Linked DNA regions of Lonchura striata. The protein of the gene in region 3 interacts with the protein of the main gene of each other region in a pairwise test. Links are inferred from orthologs where the notes say so. Each region holds a gene or a part of one and is shown on either strand. Other genes may lie near its edges.

Evidence for each region. The genes of interacting proteins can lie anywhere in the genome.
Region 1: the proteins of GOLGA2 (region 3) and CEP57L1 interact in binary tests that used the Homo sapiens proteins (3 or more experiments, as listed by UniProt). The two-hybrid records come from large-scale screens. The link is inferred for Lonchura striata from reciprocal best matches to the Homo sapiens genes GOLGA2 and CEP57L1.
Region 2: the proteins of GOLGA2 (region 3) and RBM17 interact in binary tests that used the Homo sapiens proteins (3 or more experiments, as listed by UniProt). The two-hybrid records come from large-scale screens. The link is inferred for Lonchura striata from reciprocal best matches to the Homo sapiens genes GOLGA2 and RBM17.

Annotation. Positions count from the first base shown.
Region 1 is NC_134605.1:69,473,734-69,480,817, forward strand, and holds the start of CEP57L1 (centrosomal protein CEP57L1), read right to left. Parts: upstream 3,031-7,084; 5' UTR 2,961-3,030; intron 1-2,960. Other genes in the region: SESN1 (sestrin-1), read left to right, coding at 3,658-3,897. UniProt on the Homo sapiens protein: Centrosomal protein which may be required for microtubule attachment to centrosomes.
Region 2 is NC_134607.1:69,612,632-69,620,139, forward strand, and holds the start of RBM17 (splicing factor 45), read right to left. Parts: upstream 3,031-7,508; 5' UTR 2,961-3,030; intron 1,817-2,960; 5' UTR 1,799-1,816; coding exon 1,676-1,798; intron 579-1,675; coding exon 462-578; intron 1-461. UniProt on the Homo sapiens protein: Splice factor that binds to the single-stranded 3'AG at the exon/intron border and promotes its utilization in the second catalytic step. Involved in the regulation of alternative splicing and the utilization of cryptic splice sites.
Region 3 is NC_134624.1:593,117-600,674, reverse strand, and holds the start of GOLGA2 (golgin subfamily A member 2), read left to right. Parts: upstream 1-4,471; 5' UTR 4,472-4,530; coding exon 4,531-4,578; intron 4,579-5,719; coding exon 5,720-5,842; intron 5,843-6,159; coding exon 6,160-6,240; intron 6,241-7,558. Other genes in the region: DNA repair protein SWI5 homolog, read right to left, coding at 1,369-1,433, 1,691-1,785, 2,732-3,018. UniProt on the Homo sapiens protein: Peripheral membrane component of the cis-Golgi stack that acts as a membrane skeleton that maintains the structure of the Golgi apparatus, and as a vesicle thether that facilitates vesicle fusion to the Golgi membrane.

The DNA of each region.
Region 1 (7,084 bases), on a different chromosome or scaffold from region 3:
AAACACATACTCAGAAGCAAAAAAAGGCCACATCTCCTAGACAAAATGGCTTGGACTTGACACCAAACTTGGTGCTTGGGTTCAAAGGCAGTAGAGGAGCAGCCTCCGGCCTTTTGGTGTCTCTTTGCAAAACAGGAGTCACAGAACTTTGTTTTCTCAGAGGGTAGTTGTGAAGGAAAATGCATTTAAATCTGGAGTACCATTTATTGTGGCAACATGCCAAAACACAGATCTAAAAAGGGTGGGTGAACTTTTTGAAGACTCATCCAATTATTTAGGTATTTAGCAATTGGAATGAAGTAAGCCTTAAGAAAATCAAGTGTAAAGGAAAACAGTTGAAGGAATTTAATTTAAAAAGCAGTTCCTTCTAGACTGCACAAGTTTTACTGTGTTATTATTAGTTCTCCAGTATTTGACTAAATGCATGCTTGAGAAAAGTGCTCTTTTGTGACATACAGAAACTGGAATGAACTTTTAAAACTAAATATAATGTATTTTAGATCTTGTATCTTAGAAAGAACATGAATACTATTACTAGACATTGTATTTTCAAAAATAATTCTGCTGTTGGATGTCATCTGCTATAGAAGTCTAAAGAAGGCTATAGAAGTCCTTATCTAGTTTAAAAAAAAAAAAAAAGGAAGTTGATAAATCATGAAGGAAGGAAATACTGAGATTTAAAACAGCCACAAATTTGTTTTTCTTCAGCTTATCATTTTGAAAACTCAACTGCTGCAATTCTGGATGAGTTGCCAGATTGTTTCCTTCATAATTCTGCCTCTCTCTTATCCGTTCTTTAGGGATCAAAAACAAGCATATTAACTGCAGTCAGTGAACACACAAATCAAACAAACACATTGCCCTAACTTTGGGCTCTGATTAATTCCACTGGTAGCCTCTGACCTTGATTTCCACAATGTCTTGCAGTGCATAAAGAAGCCTGACCTGGTATCAGAAAACTGCAGAGATTTGGTTTGGAAAAAAAATAAAGCCATCCTCATTGCTATTCCCTAAGTCTACATTAAAATCTATAAAACAAAGGGCTGAAATCTGAAGTTTAGGCCTTGGAGCCAGTTTCACAATCTGTTTCCTGTAGCCAGAGTTCATTTGGAGCCAGTGGAAAAAACAGCTTCTAAAAGATAAAAGGCAGTGCTGTGACTTTCAATCAATCTTGGCATTCAGTGTGTGAATACAGCTGTACCAAAGTCTAAAACACCAAAGCTCCAGCTCTGAATCTGGTTCACTCTTCTGATCTTGGATGTATGTTGTCATTGTCAGAGGCACCCAACAACTCATGATGGGAAAAATAAGATCTAGCCAACTTCTGGAGATCAAAATATAGATAGAAATAAAGCAAACAGATGTGACATGCCCATTCATGGGAAAATGGGAGACCATAATGAGTGACAACAGAATGGGATGGGAAGCTGAACTGGTAGCTAATGTAAAAAACAGAAGAAACAAACAAAAAAAATCCCTTCAACAACATAAAAAGCACTGGAAGAACGATTTTCTTTGAACCCATCAGTTATGGTGGGTGGAGGCCTCAAGTGCTTAGAGAAGTCAAGACTCATATTTATTACAGGTAGTGCTGATTTCAGCAGATGCATTGTTCACGAGGGTGCCAAAGGCCTGGAGGAAGCAGCTGCATGAAGCAGTCCAGGCCTGTCCACCCTCCTGAACAATGGCAATGCAGCCTCCTTGCAGAAAGGATTTTATGGGAAAAAAAAAGACCAGTCTTCCTTCAAAGGTACAGGTAAATGCACGTTTTAAAGAAACTGTTCCAGAAGAAAAAGTGATGGCGGATAAAGAAATCAGATTCTGTACAAAGAAGAAAGCTGAAGATGAATGGTGTTGGTGAACCTGCCCAGGCTCTGTTCCTAGACTCAGAAGTGGTTTCTGTGTCTTTCTGTGGCATAAGAGAATCTCATTCTGCATTTAACTTCAGTTTTGACATCCGAATTTTAGAGTGGGAAATGTGTACATGAGAAGTTAAAAATAATTATGCAAGCCCCTATGTAGGCCCAATGTCCTGTTTCTAATTTACTCCCAAGTATTCTTTTGCCTTTCTGTACACTCAAAATTTTAGTGCTTCAATGTGACAGCTGCAAACAGTTCTGCACTTGTTTTCTTCTCCTCTTCACTGCCAAGAGGTGAACTGGATCAAGGAACTGACTTAGCTGAAAATATAAATTTATCAACAGCAGCTTTTTTCTTTTTTTTTTGCCTCTGCAGGAAAAGCAAGGCAAGCAGCAATACCAGCCTCTTTAGTGGCAAATTACACTTAATCACAGAACGGCTGAGTTTGGCAGGGACTTCTGGAGATCCTCTGGTCCAAACCCCCCCCTCCTCAAGCAGGACCACCCGGAGACAGCTACCCAGGTTGCCCCGTGTCCAGGCAGCTTTTGAGCATCCCCAAGGATAGCAAGTCCACAACCTCCCTGGGCAACCCGTGCCAGCGCTTGGTCACCCCCACAGTAAAAAACGTGCTTCCTGATGTTCAGAGGGAAGCTCCTGTGTTTCAGTTTGAGTCCTTCGCCTCTGATACCGGCACTGAGCACCACCGAGAACATCCTGGCTCCATCCTCACTGCACCTTCCTTCTAGGCACAAATAAATGTCCGGATATATGCGCGGCCAAGATTCCCCCCGAGCCTTCTCTTCTCCAGGTTCATCAGATCCTGCACAACTGGGATTTAAAAAAATCCCCTGGGATTAATCTGGATAAAAACACCGCTGAACTGTGGCTCAATGTGAATATTACGGGGATTTCCCCGCCCCTCCCATCTCTCCTCCATCCCAAGTGTGACGGGATGCGTTTCGCTAGCACCGACGGTCCTTCCGCTCCCGCTGACGCGCTCGCTTAGGACACATCCCAGGACTGCTTCACCCCCGGCTGCCGCCAGCCATCGGCGCTCCATAGCCTGCTGCGATAGACCGCAGAACCCCCCAGGCCCGCACCAAACAGGACGGCGGGAATACCGTGCGTGCATCCCAGCGAGCGAGCCACCTCCGGCGGGATCCCGGCCGCGCGCCGCGCTGCCTGCCGGGACACGTGGTCTTCCCGCGCGAGGGCCACAGGACGGCCCTTTGGCCGGACTACATATCCCAGCAGCCCCCTGGAACGGCCGCTCCCCGCCGCAATTGGGCCCCCCGGCCGCGACGCTGAAAGGCGATTGGCTGAGCGGCGTGTCCGTCATGCGGGTTCCCCGTGCTGGGCGGGGCTCTCTCCCCCAACCCCGAGCGAGGGGACTGCCGGGGGTCGGTGGCGGCCCCGGCGGGGCGGGCTGAGGGGCCGCCCCGAGAGAGGCAGGGCTGGGGCCGCCCCTTCCCTCCATGCCCGGGGCAGGGAGGAGGAGCCGCCGGCGCCGTGGGGTGGTGGCCGCCCCTCTCCCGGTCGGGAAAGGCGAAGCCCCAGCGGCTCCGCTGGCTCGGCAGCCCCGGCGCGGGAGGGCGGCGGCGGCTGTCGGGGGCACCGGCCCGCGCTGCCCCCCATGCGGCGCGGGCAGCGGGCTCTGCGCTCGCCGCGGCCGCGCTCGTCGTCGTCTGTGTGGGCGGGCTGGCGGCTGCCGGGAGCCCGCCATGGGGCGGCCGCGCCGGGGCTGCTGAGCGGGAGGAGGCGGCGGCTGCGGCGGGGGAGCAGCGGCCGAGCGGCCCCATGGAGGAGCGGGAGGGCGAGGTGCGCTGGGACGGGCTGTGCAGCCGGGACGCCGCCGCCCGCGGTGCCGCCCTGGACACCATCGGGCAAGCCGTGCTCCGCCGCGCAGAGAGCATCGCCTCCGGGGCGGCCGCCCGCGACGGGCTGGGCGAGGCGCTGGCCCGCCTGCTCATGCTGTCCAAGAGGTGCCCCTTCCCCGACGTGAGGGAGAAGAGCGAGGCGATCCTCGGCGGGGTGCAGGTGAGCGCGGCTGACCACCCCTTCGGCTTTGGGACCGGGCGGGGGCTCTCCCGGCCCCGTCCCGCGCAGGGCGCCTTCGGGTTACACCTGTGCGACGAGGGGGGCGGCTGATCCACCCTGTCAGGTTTATTCCTGCAATTAATACTTGCTAAGTGCTCCCCACCCCTACGGCTCTCTCCCCAGAGAAACATTTGGAAAAGCGTTGTTGAAAGGCGGCGGGGGGAGGGGGTGGAATATCTTACTGAAGACACTTGAAAAACACTTGGATGCGTTCCTGTGTCACCTGCTCTAGGTGACCCTGCCTTGGCAGTGAGGTTGGACTGGATGATCTCCAGAGGTCCCTTCCAACCCTAACTATTCTGTGAAAAAGCACGAAGTCTTTCAGTGGAATCCACCAGAGAGGACTTGGCAATGAATGGCTGGAAAGTTGGGGCATCCCCAAGGAAGCACTAAAATGACAACTTTAACACTCTAGTTTCAGTCTGTATAAGTGCTGTGGTATTACCCGGTTAACTTTAAACGAAAAGCAGGAAGGATTTGGGTACTGATATTAGTGTTGCCAATTGAAAATATAAATGGGAAGTTTTGGAGCTTTTAAAAGCCATATGAGCTTGTTGTTAAGGCAGAGCCCATCAGAATGCCCTTCTTGTTGTTTATTGGTAAATAGTTTCTCCACTGGCATCAATATGATCCAAATTATTTTTTTTTCATAGCTCATATGCAGCCTAGCCAATAGAGGAATACATTTACTGACCTAATGCTAACAAAAATAAATGTTACTTTGTACTCTTCCACTCTTACAGTCTAATTATAGTTACTTGCATTGCGATTGTCTTGCTCACCTCTGGTTTTTGCTCAGGTCTTGGAGTTCTTGTATCAACGGGTCCAACAGCACTGGCTAAAGATATTACTTTTAACTGAAGAATAGGAAAAGGAAATTCAGCTATTTCTTTTAATCACAAATGAATAGAGAGCTGTGCATGGAGATAGCTGCCTGATTGTCACTACTGTGCTTTTTCTGCCTGAACTTTAACAGGTTGAATATAGGGGAATCCAGGGAAACATAATAACAATATATGAAAGTACTATAGGTATAATAATTTATACATTATATGCATAAATATGTATAATATAAAACCCATTATATGTTATCATATATATAGAAACACATTCTGGGTTTGAGTTATTGGAGCTGAAAGAGTCTCTGTTTATTTTGTCTAACTTCTCAGTACTGTGCAGTGTGATTAATACAGTGTAACTTATTTTACCCAGTTTAGGCTGTGTGTGCAGTTTTTCTCAAAGCTGATGGTTTCATGTGGTCTAAGTGGAAAGCTTGACAGCTTTTCTTTAAAAACCAAAGCCAGTGAAACAAACAACCACCCCAAACTTGAATACTGAGTTGAAAACTTTAATCTGGCATTTTCCCTGTTAACTGTTCATATGAGAAGTGAGTCTGTTACCAGTGAGAATGATGAGTTACTGCAACAGACTGCTAAGGGAAGACTTGTTTTTGTCAGGTTCAAGATATCAGAATCTATTCCAAAAACAAACAGATGGTGATCTCTCGCCTAAATTTTGGGGTGAGGTCAGAATACAGGACTGGATGACTCCCTTTTAAGTTTTTATGCATTTGAAGTTAGTGGCATGTTCAACTATTAGTGTGGTTTAGAAACTTTGTGACTAGTTTTTTTTTTTTATAACTAGGGCAAAAAGTTCTGGCAGAAAATGTCCATCTTCATACAGCAAATGCAAGTTCAAATGCCGTGATCCTTGCTGCTTTGATTAATAAACCATAGGTTTGAAAGGTTTAATAGCTGTGAAACCAATTGTATACACACAAGGTGCAGTAAAAGTTTTCCAGCAAGTTAAGCAAAATAAAATAAAATAGAATATTATTTTAAGAAAATTTTTAAAAGCTGCTTTTGTAAATTTTCCTTTTCAGAAGCATAGATCTGAGAGGAGTATTCTGTATTTCATGAATTTAAGAGTGGCAAATCTTAGTTCTTGTGTCTGTACTCATAAGTGAAAATTTTCATTGTAATCTTTGGATCCACATTTGTTGGAGAAATAATCCAGTGCAAGTGTTCTGTTTTGGGTGCTAAGGACTATTGTCAGGCATGAAATGGTTTTCGGTTGATTAATGACCAAGAATAATATTGTTCAAATCCCTGCAGTGAAGATGGCAGATAGAGCAAACTATTAAATTAAATATTATCACCACACAGAACTTTCAGCAGTGCTTCCAAAGGTTAGTAACATAAAAATGTGCAATCCCATTCAGAATAGCATCAACACTTGTGTTACGTTATCTCCCTGTTTTGGAATCTGAAGTCCACACCAATATGTACAATTATGCTGTCTAAAGTTATTAAATGATATAGAGCCTAGGGCAGGAGGGGCAACTTCAAACCCAGAAGTTCTCCTGTGAACTGGGGCTCCCCTCATTCTCTCTCTTCTGGAATGGTCCATCCTAGACTAGAACTCTGAGACTGTACTCATATATTTCTTTTTATTCCTGCCCACCCCAGCTGCCTCAATATGGAGAACTGCAAAATGTACTTTATTTATCTTTCAGATTTGCTTCCAGCATAAATCAGTGATGAAATCAAATATTAGATTTTTCCCTGTGGTCTGATTGCTATTTCTTCCTTTGAGTTAGTGCCCTCTTGCCTGTTGGGGCCGTCAGCAAATATTTAGGCATGAGTGACTGGTGCTCCTGGTGGTTTTGCAGCTTTGTGTCTGGAGCAGGTTGGTAGAGTGCATTATATGGCTGGTGTAGGCTGCAGGCTTGGCAGCAGCCTGTGTCAGCATGGCATCCCTCTAAGTCTGCCTTTGTTATGTTTTGGGGTTTTTTCCCCCGGATAAAAATTCCTGTGATATATGGTGGAATGCTAAGTGTGCAGCTTTCTTATTTGCTATTAATAAATAGCATTAATAATGATATTATTAATAAATAATATTGCTTGTATTACAATCTATAGAATTAATTATAAATTCCTGTTGATTTGAATTATGTTTGGGATAATGAGTTTTCTCATTGTAGGCTATATGTCTATATATGAATAATAACATATACTTTTTTTACCTGAGAGAATACATGTGTTTTCCCATTTAGAATAAATGACTTTTTTTGTAAGGGTTATTATAAAGACAGTGTCAACAAATTAGTCCTCTTCTTTCTAATTTT
Region 2 (7,508 bases), on a different chromosome or scaffold from region 3:
ACCAACAGAGGCACACAGCACACAGACTGTTCTCCTCTAATCTAAAAGAACCATTCAGAACTTTTCCTCTGAAAAAGCTGCAGAGAGTTTATCTTGATTTCTTACCATGAGAAATCAATTTAAAAGGTTAGAGGCTTTAGTTGTTTTATTTTTCAGTTGATTGTTATACACTTCCAGTTCCAACACTGGTGCCAACACAATTATAGTCATTATTTAGCTGCCCAAATTGCTGTCTTGCCAAATAATTTGAAGATGTCCAGGATTTTAAGAACACTGTTTTGTAACTGCACATTAACTATGGTGATTCCATGCTGTAGCACATGTAAGTCTGAATGATGTTGAAATGTTAATTAAAGAACTCTCAGCAGAGGAAGATATTCTCAGAAAATAATCAGTTTTTTGACCACTAGGAAGCATTCAACTTCCAAAACATTTGGAAATTTTAGCTGTCCTGGTCTTACCTTTAGCCCAGCTGCTACATGAGGGGGTGTGTCCACAATCTGTCTCTCATCAGAGGAGCTGCCTCGTTTCAGGTCAATCACTGGAGCAAGAACTGTGGTTTGTTTTGTCCTCTGACTCTGCAAAAATCAACAAAACACACAATGTCTAAAAAAGATAAAGCAGTTTTCTAAAAATTGGCTTACTTGATAGACTTTGCTGTGGCAGGTGGATGGTCCTAAGTTTTCACTGGGACCAGAAACACACATGGAAAATTCATCCAATCACTTCAGGTGAGTTTGAACTGAGTTAGTTTCTAAGAAACTCAGATTTATTCCAAAGATCTACTGTTCTTCCCATCTATCATCAGATAAAATATTTTAAACTCTTCTGAACTGAGTTTTCTAATCCTATCTTATTCTTCTGTTAGGCTATGGATACACTGCACATCGGGTACATGGAAAAAGAATATAACTAATACAGCAGTCAGTAAATTTCTTCCATGAAGTTTGTTCCCATTATCAACTAAATCCTGCTTCCAATTTCTGCAGCATAAATAACGAGTAATTACAGTGAAAAAAATGCTGTGGCTACTCAAGTATCTGGCATCAGTGCTACTGCTTCTTCCTTTAATTAAGTAACCTCACTACAGAACCTACAGTGCCTCAAAGAGCACCTGTGTCCTGCCTGAATCAAAATATCAACACTGCTGAAAGAATAAGGGTGAAATGAAAAGAAGAAGCAATAAAAAGAGAAAATGGCTCTGTCACAGTCTAACAAAAATCAGCTTGCACTCCTCCTTTTCACCTACTCTGGAAATACTTGGTGTAAAATTTCTAATACATAATGATTTGCAGGTTAGCACCAAGATGCTTTTCAATAACAACCATAAAATGATGTAAACATGTAAATAATCACAGTGTGACCCCTACTTACATTAAAAAAATTTTTATAAAGCTGAATCTCATTATCTTTAAAGCTAAACTTGAAGATCAGCTTTTGGCTCTGCTGTTAAAAGTTCAGAGGTTTGCAGCACATACATCAGTGCTTCCTTCAGTTTTAATTTTGCAACACCCCCTCTAAGAGACATCAAGAAATACACGTTTTTCCTTTTTCCCCTTCAGCTTTGTCAGGCTCTCTGCTACAAACTCACAGACAAATGTCAGCAAATTCTGAGGTCACAAACACAATGCACTGAACACGAAAAACAGAAAGAAAAATCACAAAGGGACTATACCTTTGCTTGTGTGAGAGCTGCTTTCTTCACCTGCAACTGCGACTGCAGCAGTTTGAAATTCTTGGACCAGCCTTCTGTTTTAGAATCGCTGGTCTCAACCCCCAAGTCATCGTAAAGTGACATTTTCTCTTCAATTTAAAACTGAAAGACAAAATAAAAGAAAAAAAAAACTCTAGATGACACTACAAGCCAAATTCCAGGTTATTTGCTAACAGTTTCATACATGGGTACACCACCTTTTATTTCACTTTTCCTAAAGCCAGAGAAAATGCACTTCTTTCTGGTGAGTAGTAAATACACATAACTAGAGCAATGCTGTACAAAAGTAACAATTTGAAAAGTGATGAAAACTGTTCAAGAATTAATTCAATCCTGCAGTGGAATATGAACAATTAGGGCTCAACAGCAAGAAGTTTACTGCAAAAAGAAAAAGGAGGTTTTGAAGACTATTAAACATCTGGCCTCGGGATGAAACACAGCAGGGGTTATAAAGGCACAGATGCACAGGATGAGGACAGGGTGTTGTAGCAATTTCCACCTGCCACAGAGCAGTGGGATTTTGGCAGCTGGGGAGTGAGGAGACAGCATGATTCTGGGGAATCACAGAATCAGTCAATGTGGAAAAAAAAATCTCTGAAATCATCCAACCTGTGACTGAAGATCAGCTTGTCACCCAGACCAGAGCACTCAGTGCCGCATCTATTTTTCCCTTGGACACCTCCAGGGATGGGGACTTCAGCACCTCCCTGGGCAGTTTATTCCAACACTTAAGTACCTTTTCTGACAAGAAATTCTTCCTAATATCCAGCCTGAACCCCGCCTGGCGCAGCTTGATGCCATTTCCTATTGTCCTGCCGCTTGTTACGTGCGAGCAAAGCCCGACCCCCACCCGGCTGTCCCCCCTATCAGGGAGTTGTGGAGAGCGAGAAATTCCCCCCTGAGCCTCCTTTTCTCCAGGCTGAGCCCCCCCAGCCATTCCTGCTCAGACCCTGGACAGCTGGCTGGACGCAGGGCTGGCGCTGTCACCGCGGGGAAGGGACGAGGCAGCGAGTCACAGGAGCTGTCCCCACAGTAAAAGGAAAGGTGGGCAGCGATCTGGGAACAGCGGGGGCGAAGCAGGCCCTGACACCCCCCCCCCACACACACACACTCCGCACAGGCCGGGAGCCCCCTGGGAAGCCGCTGAGCGTGGCACACCCGCCCTACCCTGCCTTCCCCTGCCTGCCCACACCCAGCAGGGCTCAGAGCCGCCTCCCCACACGGCCGGGCCCGGAGCCGCCCTCACCCGTCCCGGCGCCGCCGCCGCCGCCGCCGCCATCAGCCGGCGCTGAGCCCGCCGGGAAGGGCCGCGCCTGCGCACTGCGCCCCGCGCCGCCGCCGCGCCGGCGCCCCCCGGCGGCGGGAGGAGGGAGCGGCAGCGCCCCTCGGCCGGCGGGACGGAAACGTGAGGGGATTTCGAGATTTTAGAGCAGCGAAGGTTTTAGTCAGAGGTGTGAAAAACTTGCCAATCACCTGGGTTTTAAAATGTTAAAAAGTTTAATGCTGATAAAATGGTTATAAAAATAATCATGCAATTAGAGTAATAAAGTTTAGAGTTAGGGCAATTACAAGGCAATAAAAAGCACTCGGACACTCTTGGACACTAAATCACAAAAAGCATCCCTTGTGAATAAAGGAATAACATTAAACCTATACACTTGTTGCATATTCATACATCCTTCATGGTTATGCATACATTCTATTTAAAACAAGAACTCTCTTGTATATCAACTGTTCCTTTAATCCGCATGGTGTCTTCAAATCTGTGCAAGGCCTGAATAAATTAGTTTCTTCTGATAAGAAGCCATAAATTCCTCTCCTTTGGAAGATTTAGGTGCTCCTTGAAGCGAGTATCTCATTCCTAAAAAACCTTCCCCCACGTACATAGTCTCTATTTTAACATTATGTTGGAACCTAAAACTATATTTTGCACACTACTGAAGAGAATTAATACAGCATAACTTCCTAACATTACACATATAATATTTATTGTAATATTTGAAAAAGCCAATCATAAATATGCGTTTTTCACAGAGATAAGCCTTACTAGAGTTAATTAAAATAAATGAGTAGGCCTTGATTAGGAGTTAGTAGTTAACTAATAATTGATTGTTTGTCAGCACAATGTTTAGTTAGCTGGGTTTATAATGAAGAATATAGAAACTGAAAATAGCTTTTAGGAACATAAGACTATTGTGGGGCTCCTCTGTTCTGAAACCAATTGAAGGCAAGGAATGCGAGTTCTACCAAGAGTTCATTTGTCATATTTGCATTGAAAAGATAGAAAGGTCAGAAGGAGGAAAAAACTTCATTTACTTCCTCATTTTGGGACCCCTCCCCATGGAAGGGACACCGACCCATTTCAAGGAACAAACCACGCATGCTTAACAGCTTTTGGAGTGATTAGCATATGAAAAGAGGAATAGGATATACCAAAATGATGAATATGGATTTTTATTTTGGGTATTCAATACTTGTATGGATAAAAAGACTCTGTAATCACTTGGAAGCTGCGGTGTGGATTTGGGAGCTATCCCAGTGTAGAATAAACACACACTTTCTAACTTTAAGCTGTTTGAGAGTTTTTGTCCATCACAGCTGGATATTGGTACTAGATCAATATCCATATTTTTTTAATAAATCAGTGGGAGGGTGGCACGGCACATCCCAAGGGGCTGGATTTACCCCCAACACTGTTTGCTCTGGATGTTCTGTTACAATTTTCCATACCGTGTTTCTAACTCCTTAAGTAATCTGTGGTAGTTTATACAGTGAGTAACCAGTCTCCATGGCTGTTCAGTATTTCTAGTTACCTACCAAGGGCATCTGAGATTTTGGGCAGGAAAATGGAGACAATTACATGAAATTCTTCATGAAGACTCTGGCAGCACTGAGAAAGTTACGAGAACAGAGGACTTATTCTTCATCAATTTCAAACAATTCTGTCTGTTATTCCAGCATGTTTGCTGTCATTTTGCTGTGCCATCACTGTCACTGAGGTCACTGGGTAATTGCAAATATTGCAAAATATTTGGCTATTAGAAGGTCTTGCTGCATTATGTCATTTGGGCCTGAAGTGGACTTGTTTGGTCTGCCAAAACAATCTTTGTTTTCTAAAAACCTTAAAATTCTGCATCTGTCTGAACCTGGAATTTACCCAACCATACCAATTTCCCAGCCCAATATCCTGCACTAATTATTTAATATCTTCTCTTTGACAGAGGCAAAAAAGGATTTTCTTTTTTACTTACGCTGCACTGGTGTGTCTCCAGCTCATACCAAGCATGTGAAATAGATGAGCTGAGTTTTCTAAGAATTATGGCCACTTGCACCACATGATGAGCAAATGAACATGCAAGACTGTCTGCAAAGCCAAACGCCAGCCCTGAAGCAAATAGACCTGGCACCTCAACCTCAAAATATTACAAGCACTATCTCTGTATTAATCAGAAAGTCTTTATCTCCAGCATTGCTTCTGACTGTGCTACTGTGCAGTTTATTTCCCTGTGGTTAGCTGAAAAAATAAATAAAATAAAGCTACTACTTCCTCTCCTACTTATGCTGCTTTCTATTAACGCAGTACTTCTAAATACATTTACATATATGTCTATTTTCATCATGACAGTGAAAGTTCCTTAAATATAAAAAGAAATTGTCTTCACTTTATTTATAGAGGATCTCCCAAGCATCTTCCTGAGGTTTTTGCGTTAGCAATGCCTGCATTTTTTAAAGGAAGGATTGATATAATTCACACATCTGTAACCTTGTGGAAGAAAAATAAAATCAGCAAGGGACTACTTTTACAGCCTAAGAGTCCCACTGAGAAAAGAACCATGTATCCTATGTTAAAGGAAGGAATCAAATAATTAATTGCATCAAAAGGTACAGAAAAAAATCCCTGTGGATTGAGATGTCAGAGCAATATCACAGCATGACAGACACTGGGAGAAACTCAAAGGAGATTAGAGTCTGCAGAGGTGGAAAACACGAGAGCAACGGGAGATTTTGGTTCCTCCTCAGAACAAGTCATAACAGGGAGGGTAAAGGCTGAATTATCAGACCTGTAAATAACTACCTATTAAAGCCATAAATCAGATAACTCACAAGGAGAGAAGCAGCTCTTGGTTAAGCCTGGAAACTGCAGTAGGCATGGATCAAAACTGATCCATCACTGTGATAATAGCCACAGTGTATTTGTACACGCCCACTTAGAAGCAGAAGAGCCAAGAAAATCCTTCTCATTAAATTTGGGGAGATAAAGAAACCTCACCCTGCTGCCAAGGTCCCAGACAGACTGGAAATGGAGGAGAAATATGTGAGCTCATCCCCAGCATTGCAGATCTTGCAGGTGGGTTAATTGTGGCTGAAATCTCCTTTTCATCTGCAAAGGTGGGGGAGCACTGGCCAGCTCTCTGCCTCCTACAGACCCTCATAAATGTTGAAGCGTGATCTTCCAGCTACTTTATTTTCCCATTCGTATTTCAAACCTTTCTATGCTGGTGCTTTTCTTCTTGAATCTCACTTGTGATTGCTGAGTCACCAGTTCTACCTGCCTTTCTAATCTCATGTCGCTCTGTCTTTATGTTTTCTTGTAGCCCTTTTCTCCCAGCTTCACAATTTTCTCATTGTTTTGAGATGAGTTTGATGCAGCTGGGTCTCCTGAACTAGGAGAGGAGAGAGGAGAGGAGAGGAGAGGAGAGGAGAGGAGAGGAGAGGAGAGGAGAGGAGAGGAGAGGAGAGGAGAGGAGAGGAGAGGAGAGGAGAGGAGAGGAGAGGAGAGGAGAGGAGAGGAGAGGAGAGGAATTATAGGGAGATCCAAAAAGCTGTGAATAAACTGATTTTCCCACTGTGAGAAGAGCCACCAGCCTTGGTTGGAACTGCTCATTGTACCAACAGCCCACCTGGAAAAGGTGTACAGCCAAGGTGGTGAAATCTGCTGCAAATCCCAATTTTTTTCAGAGTAATCAGCCAAAAGCTGTAAGCAAGAAGTTGCAGAAGGATAGCGTGGCACTGGCTCAGTGATGAGATAGCAGATGGGGCCCACTGTTAATGAATGCAAAGCAATGCACACAAGACAAAATAGCACTAACAAAACACACACAGCAGCAGCTCTAAATCAGCTGCTTCCATTAAGGAAAGAGATGCTGCATTCATTGTGGACCATTTTCCTGAAATGCCTATTTAGTGAAGGAAGGAAGCAGGAAAGCAAACAGGCTGCTGGGAAGCATTAAAATCTTAAAAAAGGAGAACGTATCCTCATAAATCCAACACGCACATGAACGTTTGAGTGGCCACCTGCACTCCTGGGTATCTCATCCTCTCCAAGAAGCAGCAGTGCAGTAAAAAATAAAGAAATCAGATGTGCTGGGTGAAAACAGGCAGCTGAAGGGGACCTTGGAAGCATCAAGCACCCAAAATGGCCCAGAAAAGGTAAATAGGGAGTTCTCATTTTTCTCCCTGATGGTGATCTTTAAGAATGTGTAAAATAAAGCAGTGCTGGGATGGGGAAAAAGCAGCCATTAAATGTCTCATTTATGTCTCATTTCCCTAAAGCATTGATAGCAGTTTTTGGTGGATGTGGATGATTTGTTTTATGTTGCAGATCTCCTCTGAGGGTGAGGGGTGCTAATATGCCGAAATGGCATTAGAGGGCAGTGCATGGCAACCTAACTGGAGTTTTCTGGGGTGGCTGTGAGAAACCACCCTTCAGAACCTCTGAGGATGGGGACAACAGAGCAGCTCCCACTCACACAGGTGGGAAATGGTGGGGATCAGCACGTGGCACAAAAGCAAA
Region 3 (7,558 bases):
AAATACCAGCCAAAACAGCAACTTTAGTAACAGAGTTTGCATTTCCTAGTTCTTGCCACCTTGTGCCTTTTTTCCTCCCCTTAAAACTACTCCAAAACACATGAGTGTTCCACACTTGGCAGAGGGGTATGTGTTGGGGAGGGGTGTGAACGTGTCCTCTGAGTATCCACTCTGGTCTGGGCACAGGAAATATTCTGCACAGCTGCACATCAACAGAAACTTACTTAGATGAATCATGGAATATACAGGCTCTTTCCGTCCCCCTGCTTGAGGCCACTCCCCACAGATTTTAAGGCAAAACAAGACACTATTAGTGATGTATCTGTGCCACATCCAGAGCCAGGAGTGTAAAACCAATTATCTGTTCTCAGCAGCAGCCTTGTGACTGGTTTCAGGCTTCCAATCACAATGAAGATAGATTAATTTGATTCAAATTTGGAAGGAACAAGCAGACTGCAGCATGGGCCTAACTGGAGACCACAGGGGAAACTTACTGGCTGGAAGGTCTTTGTAAGTAAAAATGGGCAGAAGGACATCAAGTCTGAGTGAAAAAGGGACAATAGATCTGCAGTCAGCAGAGCACTTCATCACTTCCAAGTGCCCAAAGCAGCCAAATTTAGTCTGTGCAGTCACCCTCAGCCCTATCAGTGACATTGAAACACTCGTGCTCCCAACATCATCATGCAATGTCCAGCACAGCACTCACTCCCACCATGACTCTGCAGTTAGAGCAAAGTGATTCTGCACCTGCACATTCCTGGAGAAAACATTTGAATAGTTCATGTCTCAATATAGTTTTAGAATTTTTTCCCAGGTTCATGCACTGTTTTATAGGCTCTTAAAGTGATTTACTGACAAATGTGAAGGCTGCTTTATTCAGAGTGAACAGTCAACACAACTTTACATTTTGCCATTTACTACAGAAATGATACAAAACCTCCAGATACCAGAGCAGGTAAGTACAAAAATGCAGAACACCCAGACTTCTCTGGATTTGTTGATAAAACAAAAGAAACCCCCAAACCACCACAATTTCTGCCTTCTTCCCTCCTTTCTTCTGAGGGTTTTACTTTCAAAGCAGCTATTACATTGCACATTTGTATGCCCTCACTTCCTCTATCCATTCAGTAAACAAACAGCCCCTGGATACTGTAGGGAATCAAAGGGTCCATGGAAGAGGCTCAACATCAACCTGAACTACAACCTTAAAAAAAAAACCTGTTGATCAAGTAGTACATGAAATTATCTAAAATCCTACATCCCTTTTCCAAAGGTTCCTTTCTGTCTCTCCTAAACCAGGATGACACCAATGTGTAATGGCACAGTGACAGTCACTTTTGCATGACATGGCAGCTTCCAGGTTCAGGACTAGTCACTGAGTTCCAGGTCATACTCAGGATAGAGCTGTTTTGTAGTGACCCCTCGGATAACAGCTAGGAAATAAAAAAACAGCATTGCTTTCATTAAACAAAGATCATGGGAGTCAGAAACGTGGTGTTTTCTTTCCCTAATTATCCCATAGCACATCCTATAGCCAAGAAACCCAAGGTTTTGCAGCTATGCCTCCTGCATACCCAAACACTTTTTTAAAAGTGAAGAATTGTAACACAAGCTTTGCTTCCATAGTAGCAGCTTCTTTCTGTATGAAAACACTGACTAAAAAGGTCTTGAACAGCTTTCCCTTTCTTACCTAGCTTGCCCAGGAGCATTTGCCCAGCATCTTTGATTTCATTGTATTCATGGAGCAGAGAGATGTGCTTGTCCAGTTCCTCCAGGCTGTAGCCCCTGTAAAATAACACCAGGAAGGTCAGAAATGACACAGGGGGACTGGGATTTCCTGCTGCTGTGGGGGACACCAAGCCTGGAACCTCAAAAGCAGACTCAACACAACAGAGTGCAGTTCCTGCAAGTCCTAAACATGAAGATCTACACAAGCTCAAGAAAGCCAATGCACCCAAGTTCTCAGAATCAAGTAGAAACAAGAGTAGGCTGTGGTGAATTCCTTTGATACGTATCTCTAATCTGTATATAGGGAAAAAATTAAGAATCGTAGAATCATTTAGGATGGAAAAGACCCTCAAGAGCATCAAGTCCAACCTTTGGCTAAGCACCACCATACTGACTAAACCAGAACACTTCGTGCCATATCCAGTCATCTCTTGAATACCTCCAGGGATTGTGACTCCATCACCTCCCTGCCAGCCCAGCCCAATGTTTAATCACCCTTTCAGCAAAGAAATTCCTCCTGATGTCCAACCTGGAGTTCCCCTGGCATAGCCTGAGGCCATTTCCTCTTGTTCTGTTGCTAGGTTTGTTTACCCTTGAGGATAAATAAAAAAGAGTTCTGGAACAGCCTTTGTTGTTCTACCATTTCCATCCTATGCACCACATTTACCTTAGAAAATATAAGTCTAACACAACAAATAACAAGTGGCTAAAATTATCTGTTCCCAGTAAACACATAATTACCTCAGGAACACCCAGGCTAAAACAAAAATCCTCTTATGCAAGCTCCCAGTAAAACTTGTTTTGCTTTACCACACAAAGTGGAAAGAATTCCCTCTTGTCTCTAACAAGTCCCATCACTTACAACACTGTAACCAACATTGCACCATACCAACAACAGCATCACAGAAGGTCAGCTCTCAGCTCCAATTCCTGGATCACATTCTATTTTAAAAACAAAAATAATTAAGGCATCAAGTAAACACTGAGCTTGCCAAGGACGTACTCTGACAATAATTGTGCAATTTCCTGGTCTAGAGCAAGGTTTTTCTGTTTCAGCTCTTTGATTTCACACTGCAGGGCTTCTTCGCTGGCTCCATTAAGCTGGAAGGACTTTGGAGATGGGATCTGTAGAACACAGAAGACACGTAGCAGGAACTCAGCTCTGGGTAAGATGTTACAATGCTGCAGCACTAATGTGAAAATAGCGTACATGTCACTTGATAAAACAGGAGAAAAGGAAAAAAATATCCCCAGGGTGGGCGGGGAGGGGGGTTCAAATAAAATGTGCATTAGTGTACATAACACTAGTGTGCTCCATACCACATCTAACCACACTTTCGAGAGCTACACTGTAAAGTGAAAATAAATAATTCAAATAAAATATATTAAAAAAATATTAAAACAAAAGAATTAAAATCACAATGTGCCTTTTAGGAGAAACTCCCAGCACGACACAGTGCAAACTGCAGTGCTGGCGCTAACCCGGGGAACCCTCAAGGGAAAGCCCTCCCCACCGGGCAGGGCCGAGCCCCGCCAACGAGGGGACTCGTTCCCCGGGGCAGCCCGCGCAGGACTCACCGGTGCCCTGAATCCGGCCGTGCCGCCCCGCCGGCCGCCGGCCCTGGCAAAGCAGAGGGCGCCGCGTCAGGGGCCGGTACCGGCACCCGCCGCGGCGGGGACGCGGCCCGGGAGGGGGGGCAGCGGGGAACGGCTCCTACCTCCTGGGAAGGGCCCGCGGCGGCGGGCGGCGGGGCGGGCTGCGGCCCGCGGCCGGCGGGACCCGCTCGGCCAGGGCTGAGGGCTCCCGCTGCAGGCTCGGAGCTCCCGCCACACCGGAGAGGGGGAGTCCCCTCGCCACAGAGAACGCCGGGAGTTGTAGTCCCCCCGCCACAGAGAACGCCGGGAGTTGTAGTCCCCTCGCCACAGAGAACGCCGGGAGTTGTAGTCCCCTCGCCACAGAGAACGCCGGGAGTTGTAGTCCCCTGCCGGGCCCGACCGTGGTGGGGCTGCAGGTGACATTGGGTGTGGCAGGACACAATTGTCCCCCGAGGGCCGCAGGCGAGGTGGTGACATTTGGTCCTTCAGAGACATCTCAGCACCGTGCCTCAGCTGGGACGGGGGCTCAGGAGATTTCGAGAATCATTGAATCAATCTGGTTCGAAAAGACCTCGAGTTCGAAAAATCACTCATGTGATGGAACACCATCATGCCAACCAGACACGGCCCTGGGTGCCATGTCCAGTGTTTGCCCGTAGCCACCGCTGCGATGTTGTTTTCGCAAGGTGAGCACTGCCCACTCCCCCGCTTGTCCCTGTGTCCCACCGGGCCCCTCAGCTCCCCCCGAGTCCCGCACAGAGGCTCGGACAGCGCTGGAGGCCCCGTCCTGCCGCAGGGAGCGTGTCCCTGTCAGCGCCGTGTCCCAGAGCCGGAGCTGCCCGAGCCTCAGCTGCTGCCGCGCTTGGAAGGTCAAAGGATTTGGGATCACACAGAACGACCCTGCCGCCTGCCCTGCGCGCGGGATCAGCCTCGGACACCAAGGGCGGGACAGCGAGGGGAGCCGGGCTGCCCCTCCCGGCATTTGCGCTGGGCTGCCGGGTCGCTACAGCAGCGGGGCAGAGCCCGGTGTCACACGGGGAGCGCGGTGTCCCGCGGTGTCCCGCGGTGTCCCGGGGCCGGGCTGTCCCGGCGGGGCCGGGCTGCCCCGCGTGTCACCCCGGGGTGTCCCGGGGCGGAGCGGGGCCGGCCGGGGGCGGAGCCGCCGCCGCTGCTGGCGGGCTGACGTGGCCGGGGCGCGGGGCGGACATGGCGGACGGCAGCAGGCAGAGCCGGTTGGCCGCGGCCAAGAAGAAGGTGAGGGGCCGGCGGTCCGGGCGGGACGGGGCACGACGTGACGGAGCGGGGGCGGCTGCGCTCCGCGGGCCCCGCGCGGGCCGGGCCGGGCCGAGCCGAGCGCGGCCTCCCCGCGGGCCGGGCCGGGCCGCCCCCTCGCTTCGGGCCCGGGAGGCTGCGGCTCTCCGGGGCTGCGGCCCGGCCTTCTCGGCGGGCGGCCGGGGCGAGGCCGGGCCTGGGTGGCTGCGGTGCTGCCAGGGTTCCCCGGGCTGCTGTGCGGGTGTCGTTGTCCCCCCCGCCTTCCTTTTTCCCCGTATTTTTTCCCTCGGGGCGGCCCGGCTGCCTGCGTCCCGGCGGGATGCGCTTCTGTGTCAAAGTCACGGAAACGGGAAAGTGTCCTGGAGCAGTTCAGGCTTCCATTTTGAAATCCTACCAATAATGGGATCCTCCTCCGTCCTTCTCCGTGCCCCGCTGCCCCGCCGTGCCTGCCCGGGGTGTGCGGGCCGGGGGTGCCGTTGTTTGCATAAACAGCTGCCGGCTCTGGGGCTCGGGCGTGCAGGAATTGCACAGAAATGCCGGCAGACCTGGAGGGATTCGAGTTACATCTTATCAGACCGGCACTTCCTGGGCGAAGTGGATGCGATTAAAAATCATTTGTAGATTGTTTCTCCCCTTAGCTTGCAGTTGTTGCAGTGTCTGCTGTGGGGATTGCAACTGTCCTTCATAAAATCTTCCGTGGAGTGGAAAATACTACTATCAGGCAGTGCTTTCTCACTTTGCATGTAGGATTAATTGCCCTTTATTACTTTTGCCTCATTGCTCTTACTTATAACCTTGAAATCCCGCAAACCAGTGCTTTCAATCTCCTTTTAGTTGTACTGTAGAGTGTGAAACAATTTCCCAGGAACAGCATTGGCTGTAAACAAAAGTTGAATGTTTACAACTCTTGTCATAAACCCATCACTTTGGTCTTAACTTTAGCCTTCTCTGGGCTTATTTTGATTCCCGTTTTTATCCCATATCGATAAATTAATGGAAGAGCATTCCCCTTGTCCTTACACTTGATCTGTATTTTTACCAGTGAAGTTAGTTTTGAGGGGTCTTTGAGGTTATAGAAGGCATATATTGTTTGGACTTCAGATTTGTCTTCTTCTGTTCACAGCTGAAGGAATATCAGCAGAAGAACAGCCCTGGAGCCACTGCAGGAACTAAGAAAAAACGCAAAACTAAAGAAGGCAGCAGACCTGCCACTCCCACCACTGATGACCAGCAGCCTCCAGAGAATGTGAGTGTCTCTTTCTGCGAAATCATTTGCCACCTCCCTCTTCTTCAGTTTTCTGGACAGTCTGACCGGAGCTGGAAGTGGTTGTGCTGGGGTAAGAGCTGAGTGGTGTAGGTGCTGTATGAGGTGCCTGCTCTGGAAGGTGCAGCTGGCATTGGAGGCTGTCCAGTGGTGCCCTGGGTGTGCCCGGAGCTGCTGGGCTGAGGCGTGTGGTTCCCACGAGCTGGATGAGGATGGTTCCTTGGCTGCCTTGGATTGATGTTTTCTCTCTGTCCTTCTCTGAGCCATTTCTCTTTCCCCTTTTCTTTCGCTTCCTGTAGATTCAGAACATTCTGAAGGTGCTGGTGTCAGACCTTAACCGCTCCAATGGGGTAGCCATACCCTCATTGGACAAGAGGAAGGTGAGGCAGTGCTTGTGTCCCTCGCAGTGACTCGCTCTCCCTCCTGCATGTCTGGGTTCTGTTCACACTGAGCTCCATCTCCCAGGATGGAGCCTTGTCCTCACATATCCATTGTCAGTTGCTTCAGTTTTGTTGCTGTTTTTATTAACATGGAGCTCTTTCTTACCATTGCTTGTTAAGTGCTTGTTTCCTTCTGGTTAGTGTCAAAGTTAACACGTCAAAAAGTGAGCCTTGTCAAAAAGTCTTTCTTGAGACAGCTGAGCTTGGAGGAAAACAGGAATTTGGGGTGAGGCAATAAACTAATTTGTAACAGCTGAGGAAGACTGCAGTAGGAAGAGGTAGTGATTCCTTATTCTGTATTTCTTCTGCTCTTAGTGTCATTGCTTTGTTTTCTGGAGCTTGGTTTCTGAAGGGCATGTTTCTGCTCATCTCCAGGCAAACAGCTGCACTGGCTGGTTATTCCAGCCACCCATTTTATGACAGGCGATGAAGCTGGCACAGGTGATGTACAGTCTGGCAAGTAGCAGGGGTGTAAATATGCTTAGGCAGGAAGTCAGATACTTCAAAGCCAGGCATGTACAGGCTTCAGCCTCTTCACATTCCCAAGATCCTGAAGAGGAAAGGGCAGGAAGTATGCCAAGGAGCAAGAGAAAGGTGCATACGTGAACAGCATTTTAAAACCACTTACTTTCAGACAGTTAGTTTGTTTAAAATAAGGCCCAAACTGTGATAAAACTCAGAGAAGTCAAATTTTGTAGCTGAGAATATTCTTCCAGTTTTGTTGTACCAAAGCTCTGCTTTTCATTTTCACTTGCATCGTTTTGGTAGCTCATTTCCCTGCCATTATTTCAATGTAGTTGTCATAAAGTAGTTAATTGTTATATTAAATGCATATCCATGGGTATCCAGCAATAAATATAACTATAGTAATCACATGGAGTACCTGACAGATAAAGTGAAACCTGCAAGGTGGAATGGAATTCCCTCTGAATTGCCTTTGTATCCTTTTTCCCTTTTTTTTCCTTTTGTGTGATAGTATGTCTGACACACAGAGTGCCACCAGCGGGACTGTGTTGTGTAGGTTCTGTAGCAGCAGAATTCGAGTGATGTGAAGACACACTGCCAGCTTTGGGGTGCTGGGTGTGCCTCAGAAAACTTGTGTTGTGGCTGAAGTGTCACTGTTGTCCTGGAGACTGTTTTCAGTTAGTACTTGTCAGCTCAGAGTAAGTTAAATTTTGGGAAAAGAGACTTGTTTCCCATTGGAGGGTGAAATGAAGATAGGTGGTCCAGTGCTGTTGCTGAGGTGACACTTAGCCTT